Linked DNA regions of Tamandua tetradactyla. The protein of the gene in region 1 interacts with the protein of each later gene in a pairwise test. Links are inferred from orthologs where the notes say so. Each region holds a gene or a part of one and is shown in the gene's direction. Other genes may lie near its edges.

Region 1 (7,749 bases):
GGGTCCTCAAATTGGTATCAACATCACCTGAGACCAGCAGTATCAGTATCACTTGAGAATTGGCTAAAAAAATACACATTCTTGGGTCTCACTCCAGCCCTCCTGAATCAAAAACTCTGGGGCTTGAGCCCAGCAATCCATAGTTTAAAGGCCTTCCAGGTGATTCTGATGCATTGATAAAGCTTGAAACAGTAATGGGATAAGGCTTTGAATACAGGCTGTGAAATTAGAGCCGTCAAAGCCCATGTGCTTAATTATACTCCCTCCCTATTACTTAAGATGAAAACTAGTTATAGGTGATTTCTACTTTAAAAACAGCCATTAAAAAAAAAATAGGAGTCTAGGGCTGGTTTCATTATATCTCCTTGACTTCCAATTTGACCAAATAACCTTAAGTACTAAATTAACCACTAGAGGGAGTACTTAACAACCCTTCAAATATTGAATCTTTAAAGAGCAAAAAATTAGTAAAACCATACAAAAAAGTAAATCTTTTGCTGGATGGAAAGAAGCATTATTTCTATGTATCATCATTAAAACAATTGGCTTAGGTTATTTGAAACAGCTACATTTGAAGCTATATTGCTTAGGCATAAACTCACTGTTAGCCCATATATACACTACACCATGTTAGGTAATTTAATATCTTTCTTCATTTCTAAAGTTGGTGGGATGGGGGGGCTCAGGCCAGTAAAATTACAATATAATTTAAATTAAAATAATCTAGTTAAAACTATATCAAATCCCCTTTAAGTCCCAAAGAAATAAGACTGCATTGTATGTTTAGCTGTGTCCTACCACCTAACTCAGAGCACTTGCGAACAGAAATGGAAAATAAGGCACGTGGTACATGACAAGTTCTCAATAAGTGATTACTGAATAAGTGAGTGAATGGAACTAATGTAAGTCTTTTGCTCCAATGGACCTCTTAAAGCATCATAAATAAATTGGAAGTCATTCAATGTTATACAAAATAAGACCATTTTCTTCCACAATACATATACAAATATGATGCAACAGTTTAATAAAAATCACTACATATGCCATATGTAACCCGCAACAATAATTTCCAGAGAATTTTATAATACTATACCCAGTGATTGACTGATCCTCTGACACATAACCTCCTTCCAAAAGTACTAAAAGGCATTTTTTTGTCAAGGTGATTTTCATTTATATTTGTTTAAGAACTTTGCAAAAAGTCATGATTCATGAGAGAGAAAGAGAGAGAGATGAAATGAGACCCTGATACAGTGGGAAGCACATTGGAGAAGGAAGACAAAGGATTTAATTCCAGCCCTCCTACCATCTCATCATGTGACCTTGGCCAAGGCACTGACCTCCCTACCCCCAGCACCTCTTCTATGAGATGATGCACTCTAGCAGACAGTATAAGCCCAAAAGACAGGAAATACGGCCAAGTAATAAAGACTTGGGAACAATTGTGCTGATACAGATTTGAAATGTCTGTTGATAAGACAGAAAGATTAAAAAATGTGCATCTCCGTAGAAGTTTCCAAGGGAATATCCATGCCATATATTGGATTAAGACTGATGGAATGTATTACGTATTTATTCAAGAATTAATATGCTATTTATGAGGCATTGAACTAATAGTTTCAAGAATTCCATAATGAATAAGATAGTTCTGGCTCTATTACATCAATAGCTTCACAATGATTTTAAGATGAAGCCCCAAACGCCTTAACATAGCCCCTATATGACCTGGCCCTACTGACTTTCCAACTATGTCTCATACCTCAATACCCAGCCCACCCCTCCACTCCGACCTCACAGGTCTTTCATTTATCACAAACACCATGCTCCCTTTGCTATGGGGCTTTAACGCATTCATTCATATGCTCATTTGTAAACTCATCTATTTGTTGAGTACCTACTCTGGATCAAGCACTGTGGTGATACTGGGAACATAACGTGACCAAACAGAAAGTGCCTCGTTTCATGGAGAATATATTCTAGTCGTGGAAGAGAGAAATAACATACAAACAAGTAGGTTAAACTCAGAGAGTAATATATGTTTCAAAGAAAACAAAACAGGGGGCTATGTAACAACTGGGTGATCAGGAAAAGCCCTCAGTTTGTAGGTGCCTTTTAAGCAGAATCCCCTAGTGTAAGTAGCCTGCCATGTGAAAATCATTGTAGGAGCATTCTGGACAGAGAGAATAACAAACACAAAACTGACTCTGAAGGGGATGCAAGGGTAGTTCAGTGGTAGAATTCCCACCTGTCGTGTGGGAGACCTGGATTCGATTCCCAGTCCATGCTCTTCCCAAAAAAACAAACAAATAAGCAAACACAAACAAAAACCAAACAAACAAATTTTAAAAATTCAACAACTGGTGCAACAATAACATGATACTCACATGTAAAAATAACGAAATGTGACCCCACCATACAGCCTACAAAAAGAAAAAAAAACTGACTCTGAAATAATTTTGATATATGCTAAGACTAGAAAGAAAAAGTGTGGCTAAAGCACTATGGGGGAGCAAGAGAAAGTAGCCAGGAATACAGATGTGAGGTAAGGCCCTTTAACAGCCAGGATAAGGATTTTAAATTTTAAGTGCACAAGGAAATTCTGGAAGATTGGTATGATCTGATTTACATGTTTGATTGTGCATTACAGTATGTGGATGTGAGGGCACCAGTAAGGAGGCTTTTGCGCTAAGGGCTAATGATGACAGTGGTTTGGATTATGATGATATAAAAGAAATGAAGAAGGAATGATTCAAAATTCTGGAGGTAGAGCAGATGGGAATCGCCAGTGCGGCTAGGAGGGTATTGCCATTTTCTGAGATATGGAAGTAAGGGAGAGATGGGGGTGGGTTTGGGGGCTCAATTTGCCTGTGATGTCTCTGGACTGTTCTTCTCTCCCTCTTCACCTAGTTAACGCCTTCTCATTCTTCAGATCTCAGCTCACCGGTCACTTCCTCAATAAGCCCTTCCCCAACTAGGTTGCCAAACCACTATACTCAGTAGATGCTCTGCTGGTGCCATGTACTACTCCTTAGTAGTTTTGGTAGAGCAAATTGTGTTCGATTGCAAAAGTATCCACTAATTCTTCCCCTGCTTCTACTCACGAGCCCCTAGGCTCAGCCATGTGACTTGCTTTGATGGACAGGATATCAGCAAATGTGACCCAGGCAGAGATCTGAAGGGTACTTATGCAGTGGGGTTTGTCTTCTCTTGTTATTTTGGAACCCTGCAACCATTTGAAGAAGTCTAGCCAGCCCTTGGAGAATAAGAAACACATTGCTCTTGTTTTCCCTGATGACAGCTTGCCAACCCCTAGAAGTGTGTTAAGCCATCCTAGATCAGTCAGCTACCAGCAGCTACCTGTCAGCTGGGCAGACAAGAAGTAGAAGAACCAGCCAATGGACTGAGAATCCTGATGCTAGAAAAAGGATTGTTTTAAGCCACTGAAGTCGTGGTGGTTTGTTACACAGCAGAAACGATACAGTTGCACAAAATTTACTTAATATTTCACATGTATTTGTTGAATAGTTTAATTAAATACATTGTTTACCTCCTCTTAGTCCTTCCTTCCTCCTCTCCCACACAGTGCACTCTATAAGGGCAAAGACTATTCTACTTTTTGCCTACCACTGCACATTCAGAGCCCAGCACAATACTGGAAGATACCAGACTTCAATAGATAGCTTGCCAATTGAATGCAAGAGCAGAAGATAGATACACGTTGAAACATGACAGAGTAAGTTCCATAAGAGAGGTAACAAAGGACTAGGGGCATAAATTTGTCCCCATCAAAAAAAAATCTTGTTTTGAGCAGAACAAAGCACAAAGGAATACAAAAGCAAGACTATTTTCTCTGCCTCAAAGAGTGCAAAGTCTAGAGTAGCAGAGACAGAAAACCAATAAAAATATATCACAGAAGAAGGGGCCCCAAAAGCTGACTTGATTAGGGAAAGGTAGGAAGTCCAGGAAGGCTTCTTGATGTAGATAAAGCTTGAATTTAGTCCTAAAGCTAAACAGGTGTTTACTTGAACGAGCAAACACAAGTAGAAACCAGCTTGAGTGTTCAAAGGAGAAAGAAATGTCTCTTATTATTCATCTAAGGGTATTATGGATTAAGTGTCCGTTGTCCCATTAAACTCTCAAGCTCTCCACGGCTGGAGACCCTTCTTAACACTGTATTATTCCAAGTGTCTAACATAATCTTTACCCCCAAAGTAGGTGCTCAATAAATATCTGCTGAATAGATGAAAATTTTAAAATGAAGCATTAAGCACTTGCTCCCCTTATAAAGGCAGCCTCCAAGAGCCGACATTTTCAGAGTTGCACATATGTGACCAAATGTAACATAAGCATAGACTGGCCTTTATTTCGCCTTTAGTTCTACGTTTTCCTCGGGGTTATTGCTCGGTTGTCTTTTTTTCTCTCTTTTGCTACGGTCCAACCTGGAAGGATTTGGAAACCAATGGGCATTTGAGGTAAACGCGGCTCTTCGTTCAGGCGTGGCAAGAAAGCTCCAGCGGGAGGGGCTTCCGCGATGTTTTTAAGGAACTTCGCCGGGAGCCGCATCCGCGGGTGAGGGCGCGGGCGGATCTGCAGGGATGGGCGTGACAGCTCCATTGCTTTCCCGCGCTGCCCTTCTCGAGCCCCAGACAGTCTAGGTCTGGCGCTAGGGTTGAGCGCGGGGGCGCGCGCTGCGTTTCCATAGAAACGCCCCGGCCAACGCGGAGGTGCACGGGGCGGGCTCTCCAGCTCCCTGCGACGTCGGCCTGCGCCCTGGCGCGCGCTCGGGCGCCTCGGAACGTCGGTTGTCGGGCCCCAGCACCGGGTTCCCGGTGATGCGCGAGGCAAGATGTTAAGGCGCAGCCTGGAAAACCGGTAACGGCCCTGGGGCCCAGCTGCCTAGGGCCTACCACACGCGAGGACTTGGGTGGGGGAAGTGGGGCCTCTTTCCGTGGGGCCTCCGCGCCGAATTCCAGCCTTGGGCCGGAGGCTGGACCGCCGCCGCCTCTGCGCCCTGAGGCCTATTTCCCTGTGCTGGAGCGAGCCCCGGCGCCCAAGGGGAGTCCAGGGATGGGTGGGCCGCTGCCCCAACCCAAGCTCTGGGCCTTTGGTCCCAGCTGTGCAGCAGCCTGGAAGGCAGGCGGCTACCTGTACCTCGTCGGGAAGCCAGGCCGTGTAGCGCGGAGCTGCCTTCCCAGCCTCAATAGTCCTCCCCCGGTAGCTGGTAGGTCCCGTGCGTCCTTTCAAGCTTCTCTGTCCGCCTACATTGGCCGGATATCGTGGCCAGGCTGGGAATGGGGTCCTGGAGGAGGAGGATCTGCCCCGGGAGATGGTGGGATTGTTGATGGTTTTGCGCCTTCAAAGCTGCAAAGTATCCCGGCAATGTTCGTTTATTAAATGCACATGACAGTGAGTCTGCCTCATCTCTAACAAAAATGTTTTGGGTTTTTTTGTGTGTCACCTTTTTCGCTAGGGACGCTCAAACCAGACAACTGCAAGATGCTGTCACAAATGTGGAAAAGCATTTTGGAGAGCTGTGCCAAATCTTTGCTGCTTATGTGCGGAAAACTGCCAGATTGAGAGACAAAGCAGACCTCTTGGTGAATGAAATCAACGGGTATGCCTCTACTGAGACCCCAAATTTAAAGCAGGGCCTGAAAAACTTTGCTGATGAGTTTGCCAAACTTCAGGATTATCGACAAGCAGAGGTATGGAGCAAGGTCACAGCATCATTGTTAAGAATGACGCATGAAGTAATGGATGAAGGAACCATGAAGACCTCTGTGTATCCTCAGTGGTGAACAAACACGCGATGATAAATGTACAGATTTTCGTGTCTGTAACAATTGTGTGTACCTATTAAAGGAAAGCTTTCTGTGTTTTCTTTTACTGCTTTTTAAATCACCACTTTAGTGTGTCTTGAAGTCTTGAATTTCCCCCACTTCATTTGCCAGTTTTTGGCCAAGGGATAATTTTTTATAGGAGATAGTATATAAAGTGCCCATGGGAAGAAAAGAAGCATGACTTGTGTCTCCTTTGCATGTACATATGACTGGAAGTGGAAGATGTTGGAAATGGCATTGTGTGTGAATAAATCATAAATGGACAAGAAATCATTGCAGCTTCCAGGCTCTGAAAAATTTAACAAAAACAGCAACAAAAAAAATGCTGATTTATATCCAGTGATTAGCTGAGGCCCTCTTTGTGGTTTTTGCTCTTTTGGGAAGGGGGGGGAGGAGTAGACGTATAATGGTTTTTTCTTTCTAAAAGCCCATTTTTCCCCTTCAGTAATGAAAAAGAGCTTTTACTAATATTTTTGGTTTCAAGACATAAGTTAACTTGTCAGAGTTGCTCAGATCTGCTTTGCTTTTTTGTACCTTACTCATCAATGCTTTTGGTCCTTTTTTAAATCCTAAAAAAGAAATTTCAATTATCAAAAGAAATAGAATGTATAATAATCTTTGAACCCATGATTACTGCTCATCCAGAACTAGAAAAACTCAGAAATTGATTAAAAATTGCATTTGGAGTTCTTTTTGGAAAAATGTTCGGTTCTTGTGATGTTTCTTCTGTGATAAATACTTCTCAGTTATACTTGAAAACTGGGGGTTTAATGTTTCAAAAATTTATACCCACAAATAATCTTAAAACTCCTGTTTTGCCAATATATTCAGTGTCCTTTTCTAGAAAACCTTTATGCTATTTCTCAAATAGCAAAGTGAATTGATTTACATTTGTTCTCCTTTTATTTCCCTTGCTTACCAAATGGTGGAGGTGCTAATGAACAATGAAATGAACAAAAGGTAGGCAACAAAAAGGAGAACAGAAAAAAGATTTGGATAATCCTTACACTGAATTCAGTCTATGGATTATTAGGAATGGTATAGACTAAACTATCCTTTTAATAGTAATAGTTTTGATTTTAGGATTACTAATTATATGCTTGATGGGACCTCTTTTTTTTTTTTTTCTTTTCTAAATCTTTGAAAATGAAACATTCATTTATGTTTTGTTTACAGGAACTAAACAAAAATCAGTATGAAATGAAAATTATTCATTGATTATGCATGTATTATCAAAAAAAAGCCTTTCCCTGCTATAAAAATAATACACGTTCAAATGTGTCATCTTGTATTACTGTTCTGAGAAAATTTCAATGTTCGAGAGAGTTATACTATATTTATATACTGGTCATTTCTTTTAATCTGTTTTGTTAGTGCTTTACACTAGTGCTGTTAGTAAAAATAATTACTCAAAATGTGATAAAAAGTGGTAATGTTTAAGAAATAATTCTAGATAAAAGAAGGAATTAATGTGTGCTAGGGAGAGAAGAGAGGTCAACCATACAGTTTGAACACTGAGACCATTTATCTTGTTCTTTAGGCTTTGATAATTTACAAATGGCTTCTCAGAAAAATTGCAGCTAATGCAGTGATCCCTAACCATTTTTGCTTTTGAGGATTGTGAACAATTTTAAATATTTCCAATAAGCTGTATCTCTCAATTTCAATTTTCTTATCTGGAAAACAGCGATTTCGTTTTAGAGATAATGTATGTTGAGTATCCAGTACTGTACAGAACACAGAAAATGGTACTGTATTAAAATTTTAGATGTCTTAGAACTTGTCCCAAAAGCTACTGTTTTAAGGTAAAAAAGTATTGCAGAAATGATGGTGTGGCAGAGATGAGCTCCTCAAAAACCTGAGACATTTTCTTGTCATTGCACAGCGGATGCTTTTGTGCTATCACTGG
Region 2 (7,089 bases), on another chromosome or scaffold:
CTCTTTGCCTTTGCACATGCTGTTCCTCTGCCATAAATGTCCTTCCCTGCTGCTTTCCTTAAATTATAAATTTCTATTCAACTCTCAGGCCAACTGATTTATCTTCTGGAAAATCTTGAATTCCTCAAGGCCATTAGTGCTGCCTCTCCTCTGTGTAAGTCCAGGATTGTGCTGTCATCTCTCTATTACAGCACTTACATTATTGAACTGGAATTGTTTGCTACTACATCTTTTTGTATTAGACAAAATATTCTTTAAAGACTAGGTTCCCTCAAAATTTGATTCAGTTTTAGATTCACTCACTTATCACACTCTTTCCTAGCCTGAAAAAAAGGTATCTGTCTTGGGCTGTCCTAAGCCAGTTGCGTTACAGGAAAGCCTGGCCTAGGCTCAGCTCAATACTTTTTCTTCCCACCTGCTCCTAGCATTTAGCCATACAGGTAAGAGGTGGAGAAAGAGAAGGTATGTGCGTTTTAGGGCTCCTCACTTTTCTCCCACCCATCCCCCAGCATAACTGGAAAACTACAGCATTTTCTTTGAAAAACTAGGTTTAGGGCTACCCTGCTGAAAATCCTCTTGTTTTAGTTTAATATCATTACTTATGACTAATGGGAAAATTGAACATGTGTCTTTAGAAAAATGTTTAAAATACACATCACATTCCCTTCTGAATTTTTTTATCATACTATGTTAGAATAAGTATTCTCTGAAATATGATAAGTAAATGTTTACCATCACTACTTAGGGGCAGAAAGAAGAGGGGAGAGAAAACTAACTTTCATCGAAAATTGACCCTGTGCCAAGCAAGCACTGTGCTTGGGTCAGGTGGATGGATAAACACCAAAGCTACTTAGGTAGCTTATGTTCAAATGCCCCCTGTTTGACTTTGGAGTCAGGCAGACTCGGGACTGAATTGACGAGATTAACTCATCATTCAATGAATATTGACTTAGTGCCTATCATATGTGTTCATACTGATAACAGGATGGTGTGATAAAACAGATATTATGCCTGCCCTAAAGGAGCTTAAGTCTAATGGGGGAAACATGCAATAATCAAATGATTACATAAGTGACTATGCAATAACTACGACCATTGCTTCCAAAGAAGGTACACATGCTATAAGATGACATAATAGTGGGTTTTGACTTAGTCTCACAGCAAGGAGCTGATGGAAGAGAAGGAGTTAATTAGACAAAGGGGAGTGGAATGACATCAGAACAGAGGGAAGCAAGGCTGCAAAAACAGGAAGAGGCTAAATCTGTACTAATACAGTAGCCACTGGCCACACCTGATAACTGAACGCTTGAAATTTGGTTAGTGTGACTGCAGATAAATTTTAAAACCGAAGCAGAGTTAATTTTAAAATATTAATTATATGTTGAAAATAATATTTTGGTCATATTGGGCTAAATAAATGATTATTCATATTAATTTCACCTGTTTTTGTATTTTTGTCTTTAAAAAAATGTAGCTCCTACAAACTTTTAAATTACACATGGCTCATATTATGACATTATGCTTCTATTGGAAAGCTCTGGTCCAGACCCTTCTAGGACGGGACTACTCTTCCCAAAGCAGTGTGTGTCGTTGGAATAGATTTGCCCTTGAAGCCAGGACACCCTGGGTTCAGTTCCTCATTAGGAACCCAATAAATATCCCCTGAATGAAAGAACAAATGGTCCTGAGTTTCTCCATTTATCTAACGGAACTAATAATAGACGCTGTCGGTACTTCACGAGATCTGGAGTTGATTCTCGAGTAGTTTTCAGACCCTTGTTCTCTGTGTGACTTTGAAGCAGTTCTTGGGCCTCAGTTTCTCCTGCCTGTAGAAGCGAATGAGAGTTCACGCGCGGGGAAGGCCTGCTCGGGATCCGGCGCGCTGCCCCAGGCAAACAGGGCGGGCCAGCATTTGTCCATCCACAGGTCTTACCTGAAGTCATGGACGGAATCCGATTACCTCGAGGCCGGTTCCGCCACAGGTTCCTCAGGGGACCACGCAAAGTGAGGGACTTCGCAAAGTTCTGGATGGGTTGCCAGACACCCGTTGCCCCTACATCCACTTGGGAAAAGTGCCTTTTGCTTTGTGGTCGGGAGGAGGAGGAGGAAGACCATTTTGCCACTGTGAGACCTGGCGTTCTCAAGGCAACGCCCTGCGCAGCCGCCACTTTCGTCTTTCCCACAATAGAACCGCGAACCAGCCCGGTGGCCGCCGCGAGACGCCGTTACCACGGTGATGAGCTGGCCGCCGTAGAGGTGCAGGACTAGACCAATGTTTTTGGGGGGAGAATGAAAATATTTCTCCGTCATGGCCTATAATATGGGGAATGTAAATGATTTCAAAAGAAAGCTGCTGTGTATATACTGTGAAATTTATCGAGAGAAGTTTGCAAGATGTTCTGGTGTTTTGCGTAGACTCGCCTTGGGGCCACCCCGCTCTGGGAACCCCCTTTAATTAGGTGGTGGAGTCCAGGGCGGGGCTGCGCGCGCGCTCTGGGAGCCGGGGGTGATGGAGCCGGCCGTGAGCCGCGGTAGTGGTGGGTGACTGGCACCTAGGAGGGTCATTGCAGGCCAGCTGTCGGGGTCCGCTTCTCCTCGGGCTCTGGGACCACGTCAGGTAGGTCCCCGAGCACGGTACCGCCCGAGGCAGCGAGGCCTGGGTAGCCTGAGGGGACAGAAGAGGGCTGGACGCCCTGGCCTCCCCAGAGAGGGGCGGAAAGTCTGTTCTGCACTTTACTCAGGGCCTCAGCGAAGCTGGAGGGGCCTGGGGCGCGGCGCAGGGGGCGGGGCCCGAGCTCAGCCTCGGCCTGTCACTTCCCTTCTCGAGGTCTATTTCCTCGGTTTTAACTTGAGATTGTAATTCCAACTCCTTAGGTCTGCAGAGAAGGTGATCTTGCGTGTAAATGTGATCGGGCATGTGGACGTTAAGAACCGTTAGTTGAGTCCGAGAGCCCCGGGTGCCTCGTGGCTTTACCTGCGCAGCATGTGCTGGACTGGCTCTTAACTTTTTGAGATATTGGTATCCTTTTGGGAATTTGATAAGAACCGAAGACTCGTCCCTTAACCTTCTTGTTAGAATTACCATAAGATGGTGTATTTTAGGGCCCATTGCAAACTGTAAAGCATTGCATAATGATTAGTGATCATTATGACCAAGGAGTAGACCTTGGTCGAAGCCCACATCCACTACTTTCCCACAGCGTGATTTGGGACCGGTTATTTAGCTTCTTGAAGCCTCAGTTTTCTGATCAGTAGATGGGGACGTACTTACTTGAACTACTTCCAGGGTTGTTGTGAGGCTCAAATGCCACTGCTTTTTATACACATTAAAGTGCTAACAACCTGAGAGTCAGGTACTGTTATTAACCCTGATTATAAATAAAGAAACTGAGGCCCAGAGAGAGTAAGTGCTGGGGTCACCCTAGAGGTGAGTGAAAGAGCAATGATTGCAATCCAGATATATTCTCCTCCCTTCATTCACTTCCTCAGAGTGCACCTTCTCTCCTTAGGAAGTTTCACTGCAAAGAAGGCTCCTGTGGGCCAAAGGGGCGCCTGGGTCCCTCAGGCCCACACTAATTAATGCCTCAGAGCTCCAGGATAGCAGCCAGAGTTGTTTGTGAATTATTGGATCTGCCTTAGAAGGCAACTAGCCCAAAACCTTCCTTTTCCTCATTTTTAATATATGATGACAATTCTTGGTTTAAGGATTAGGAGAACTAATGAGATCATGAGTGAAGTGCCCCAATTAAAACCCAGAGAAATAAAATGACTTGTTCAAGGATTAGCAAGTACCTGAGGGGCAAAGCCCAGCCTAGAACATGATTTATGATGTGTCAGACATGATGCTTTTAGCATAATCTAGGGCTTTGACAGGAACTGCTTTGCTTATTTTCCTTCTTCAAAGGTCTCCAGATACTTGGAGAGGCAAGCACTGTTTTTTTCATAAATCCTTTTTTTCATAAATATACATGATTTATACTATCATTGTAATATATTAAATGCAAAGGTATATTTCCATAATATATAATTATTTTACATTATATTATACCAAATGATTTTTACCAATGTTTGACCATTTTTTTATTCAGTTATCCTACTCTCCTCATGTGTAACTACTATGAAGACTTTGGTGTATCCTTCCAGATCTTTTTTTTATTTACACATATAAATTCTTGCTTTTTTCTTACTGACTTCTTATAATGATATTCTACTATCCACATTGTTCTTTCGTATCCTATCTTAATGTTAGAGCATGTGTTGGAGAACTTTTCAGGTCAGTCAACATAGAGCTATCTTATTGGTTTTAAAGGCTGTTTAGTATTCTATTTTAAGAATGTTTACCACAATGTATTTGTCCACACCAACACTGGTAAACATTTTGGATTGTTTGTCATTTTTCACTACTGCCAACAAGGTAATAAATTTGTTTGAACTTGTGCAAATGTTTCTGGAGGATAAATTTCTAGAAATTGGATTTGCTGGCCAAAAAGTATATGCACATTTAAAATTTTGCCGGTTTTTTCTAATTGCCTTCAAAAGAATTACAACATTTTTTATTTTCACTGATGGTAAATGGAAGTATCTTTTTCATCACTGTGTCAGGGGTCCCCAAGACCATCCCTTAGTTCTGTGATTCCTGTGATTCACAGGATTCAGCATATAGTTATACTCATGGCTATGGTTTATCACAGTGAAAGGATACAAGTCAAAATCAGAAAAGGGAAGAGGCACATTGGGCAAAGTCCTGAAGAAACCAGACACAAGCTCCCAAGAGTTCTCTCCCAGTGAGTCACACAGGACATGCTTAATTCTTATGTCTGGTTGTGATACAAATGTGTCAAAGTATGACAGAAATGTGGTGTACCACGAAAGCTCATTAGAGACTCAGTACCTAGAGTTTTCACCAGGGGTTAGTCACATAGGCACCCTCTGTGTGTTAGTTAGATTCAGTTGTCAACTTGGCCAGGTGAGCATACCTAGTCTTGTTGCTGAGGACATAAGCCAATGGTACATGAACCTCATCTGTTGCTGATTACATCTGCAGTCGGCTAGGAGGCGAGTCTGCTGCTATGAGTGATGTTTGACTGAATTGGCTGGTGCTTAAATGAGAGATCCCAACGTAGCACAGCTAAGCAGCTCGGCATTCCTCATCTCAGCACTTAGCAGCTCAGCCCAGGCCTTTGGAGATGCAGAAAGAAGTCACCCCGAGGAAAGTTGTTGGAACCCAGGGGCCTGGAGAGAAGACCAGCAGAGACCATCTTGTACCTTCCACGTAAGAAAGAACCTCAGTGGAAAGTCAGCTGCCTTTCCTCTGAAGAACCAACAAAATAAATCCCCTTTTATTAAAAGCCAATCCGTCTCTGGTGTGTGCATTCCGGCAGCTAGCAAACTAGAACACTCTGCCTGGCATGTACCAAGATTCTGGACCCCCAGAAGGAAGGCAGGTATTCAGCATAAACCGCATTATTTACACGAACAGTTTAGGCACACTGAGCCACTCTCATCAGTTTTGGGAATGATGGGAATGCTCCTGAAATCCCAGTTCCTAGATGTCACCGAAAGTCCCAGCTTGCAAGCAGGCCTTTCTAAGACCATTCTAGAGATCTGCTAGATTAACTCTTCTCTGTACACCTTTACCCTCACCAGCATTGGATATTATGCATCTTTTAAATTTTTTCCAACGTGATGGACGAAAATGCTTCTTTTTAAATGTGCCCCGCAAATTATTAAAATAAGGGCAATTTAATAGATTAGCTAACTGATCAGGGAATTTCAGAATTAAACAGTACAAATTCTGATACTTAGCATAACATGAAGTCTTTTACCCTTGCTTGCATACTTCTTGGAGGAAGGGAGTGGGGGCAGAGGGTTGTTGTACCTCCTGCTGATACAACCATTCTCATCTTTTTTTCCAGGGTACTCTGAAAGTAAAAATTCTTTAGGGGTGGTATTACACTTAGGAATTAGAATGAGTTTAGGAGTCAGATAGTCTTGCTTAGATCCTTTACTCACTAGCTGTGGATCTTAGGCAAATTGGTTAAATTATCTGAGCCCACAAGATTTTTTGTCACAGCAAGCTGCTTAGATGAAGTTCTTAATGCAGCTCTTGATGGTGGCTTTACTGTCAAGACCATACCTGGTCACTTAAATAGCAAATTGTAAGCCCCGATCTCAACTTTTCAGAATTTTAAGTTATGAAGTGCCAAAAGGTACTTGTTGATTTTATTTATGCCAGTAGGGATAAGCAAAATGTCTCTAATTTGTGACCATAATCACAGCAGTAATGAACCTTAGGTCGTGACTAGTGTTTATCATAGAAATATACTAATTTAATAAATCGATACAAGTTGAAAAAAAATTTATCCAAGCTCTACTTTCCTATCTTTATTATGGGTGGAAAAATACCTACCTACCTTGCAGGGTTGCTGCAAGGAATATAAGAAATATATGAACTATTCCAATATAGGATCCAACTCATGGAGGGTACATAGGAAATTACATTAATTTTTGGTGACTTTCCCTTTTCTTCTTTGGGGTAAAATCTTTCTTCCTCGTTATTCCTCTGTTTCACTGTTATCTGTCCTTTATAGATTTAAGATTAATTCTCTTCCCTTTTCCACATTATCACCTTTTTCTCTTCTCTAGCAGAAACATGCCATTGTGTTTTGGATGAGTGGTCGCACAGCTTCAAAACCCTCAACATCCTGGACCCCACCCCTTGCCCCTCTACAACTAAGCTGGAGACATTCTGGTTTGCCCAAGGCCTGTGGTGTGGTCCCCAGGCCCAAACAGTTTTTATTTACATATATACACCTACCTGTGAAATATCAGGAGGAAACATCCTCCAATATCTTTATACCCATTTTTAAAAATTTATTTGCAAATCATTTTATATATATACTTCTTTGTTTTATATTATAAAAGCCCCAAAGGGCCTTCTAAACTTTTATCATTATTTTTAGTGAAACTAATTTCCACATCACTGAAAACAGCATAGAAGTTTTTTTTTCATGTTCTTGTTGGATATATAGCTTGCCAATTATTATGCATTATCTTTTTTTTAATTTATTAATTAAAAAATAAGAAACA

What was found.
Region 2: the proteins of CIBAR1 (region 1) and CBY1 interact in binary tests that used the Homo sapiens proteins (3 or more experiments, as listed by UniProt). The two-hybrid records come from large-scale screens. The link is inferred for Tamandua tetradactyla from reciprocal best matches to the Homo sapiens genes CIBAR1 and CBY1.

The regions. Positions count from the first base shown.
Region 1 is NC_135332.1:137,014,729-137,022,477, forward strand, and holds the start of CIBAR1 (CBY1-interacting BAR domain-containing protein 1), read left to right. Parts: upstream 1-4,738; 5' UTR 4,739-4,846; coding exon 4,847-4,872; intron 4,873-5,470; coding exon 5,471-5,705; intron 5,706-7,749. UniProt on the Homo sapiens protein: Plays a critical role in regulating mitochondrial ultrastructure and function by maintaining the integrity of mitochondrial morphology, particularly the organization of cristae.
Region 2 is NC_135333.1:31,105,691-31,112,779, forward strand, and holds the start of CBY1 (protein chibby homolog 1), read left to right. Parts: upstream 1-4,069; 5' UTR 4,070-5,104; coding exon 5,105-5,272; intron 5,273-7,089. Other genes in the region: protein FAM227A, read right to left, coding at 1-34. UniProt on the Homo sapiens protein: Inhibits the Wnt/Wingless pathway by binding to CTNNB1/beta-catenin and inhibiting beta-catenin-mediated transcriptional activation through competition with TCF/LEF transcription factors.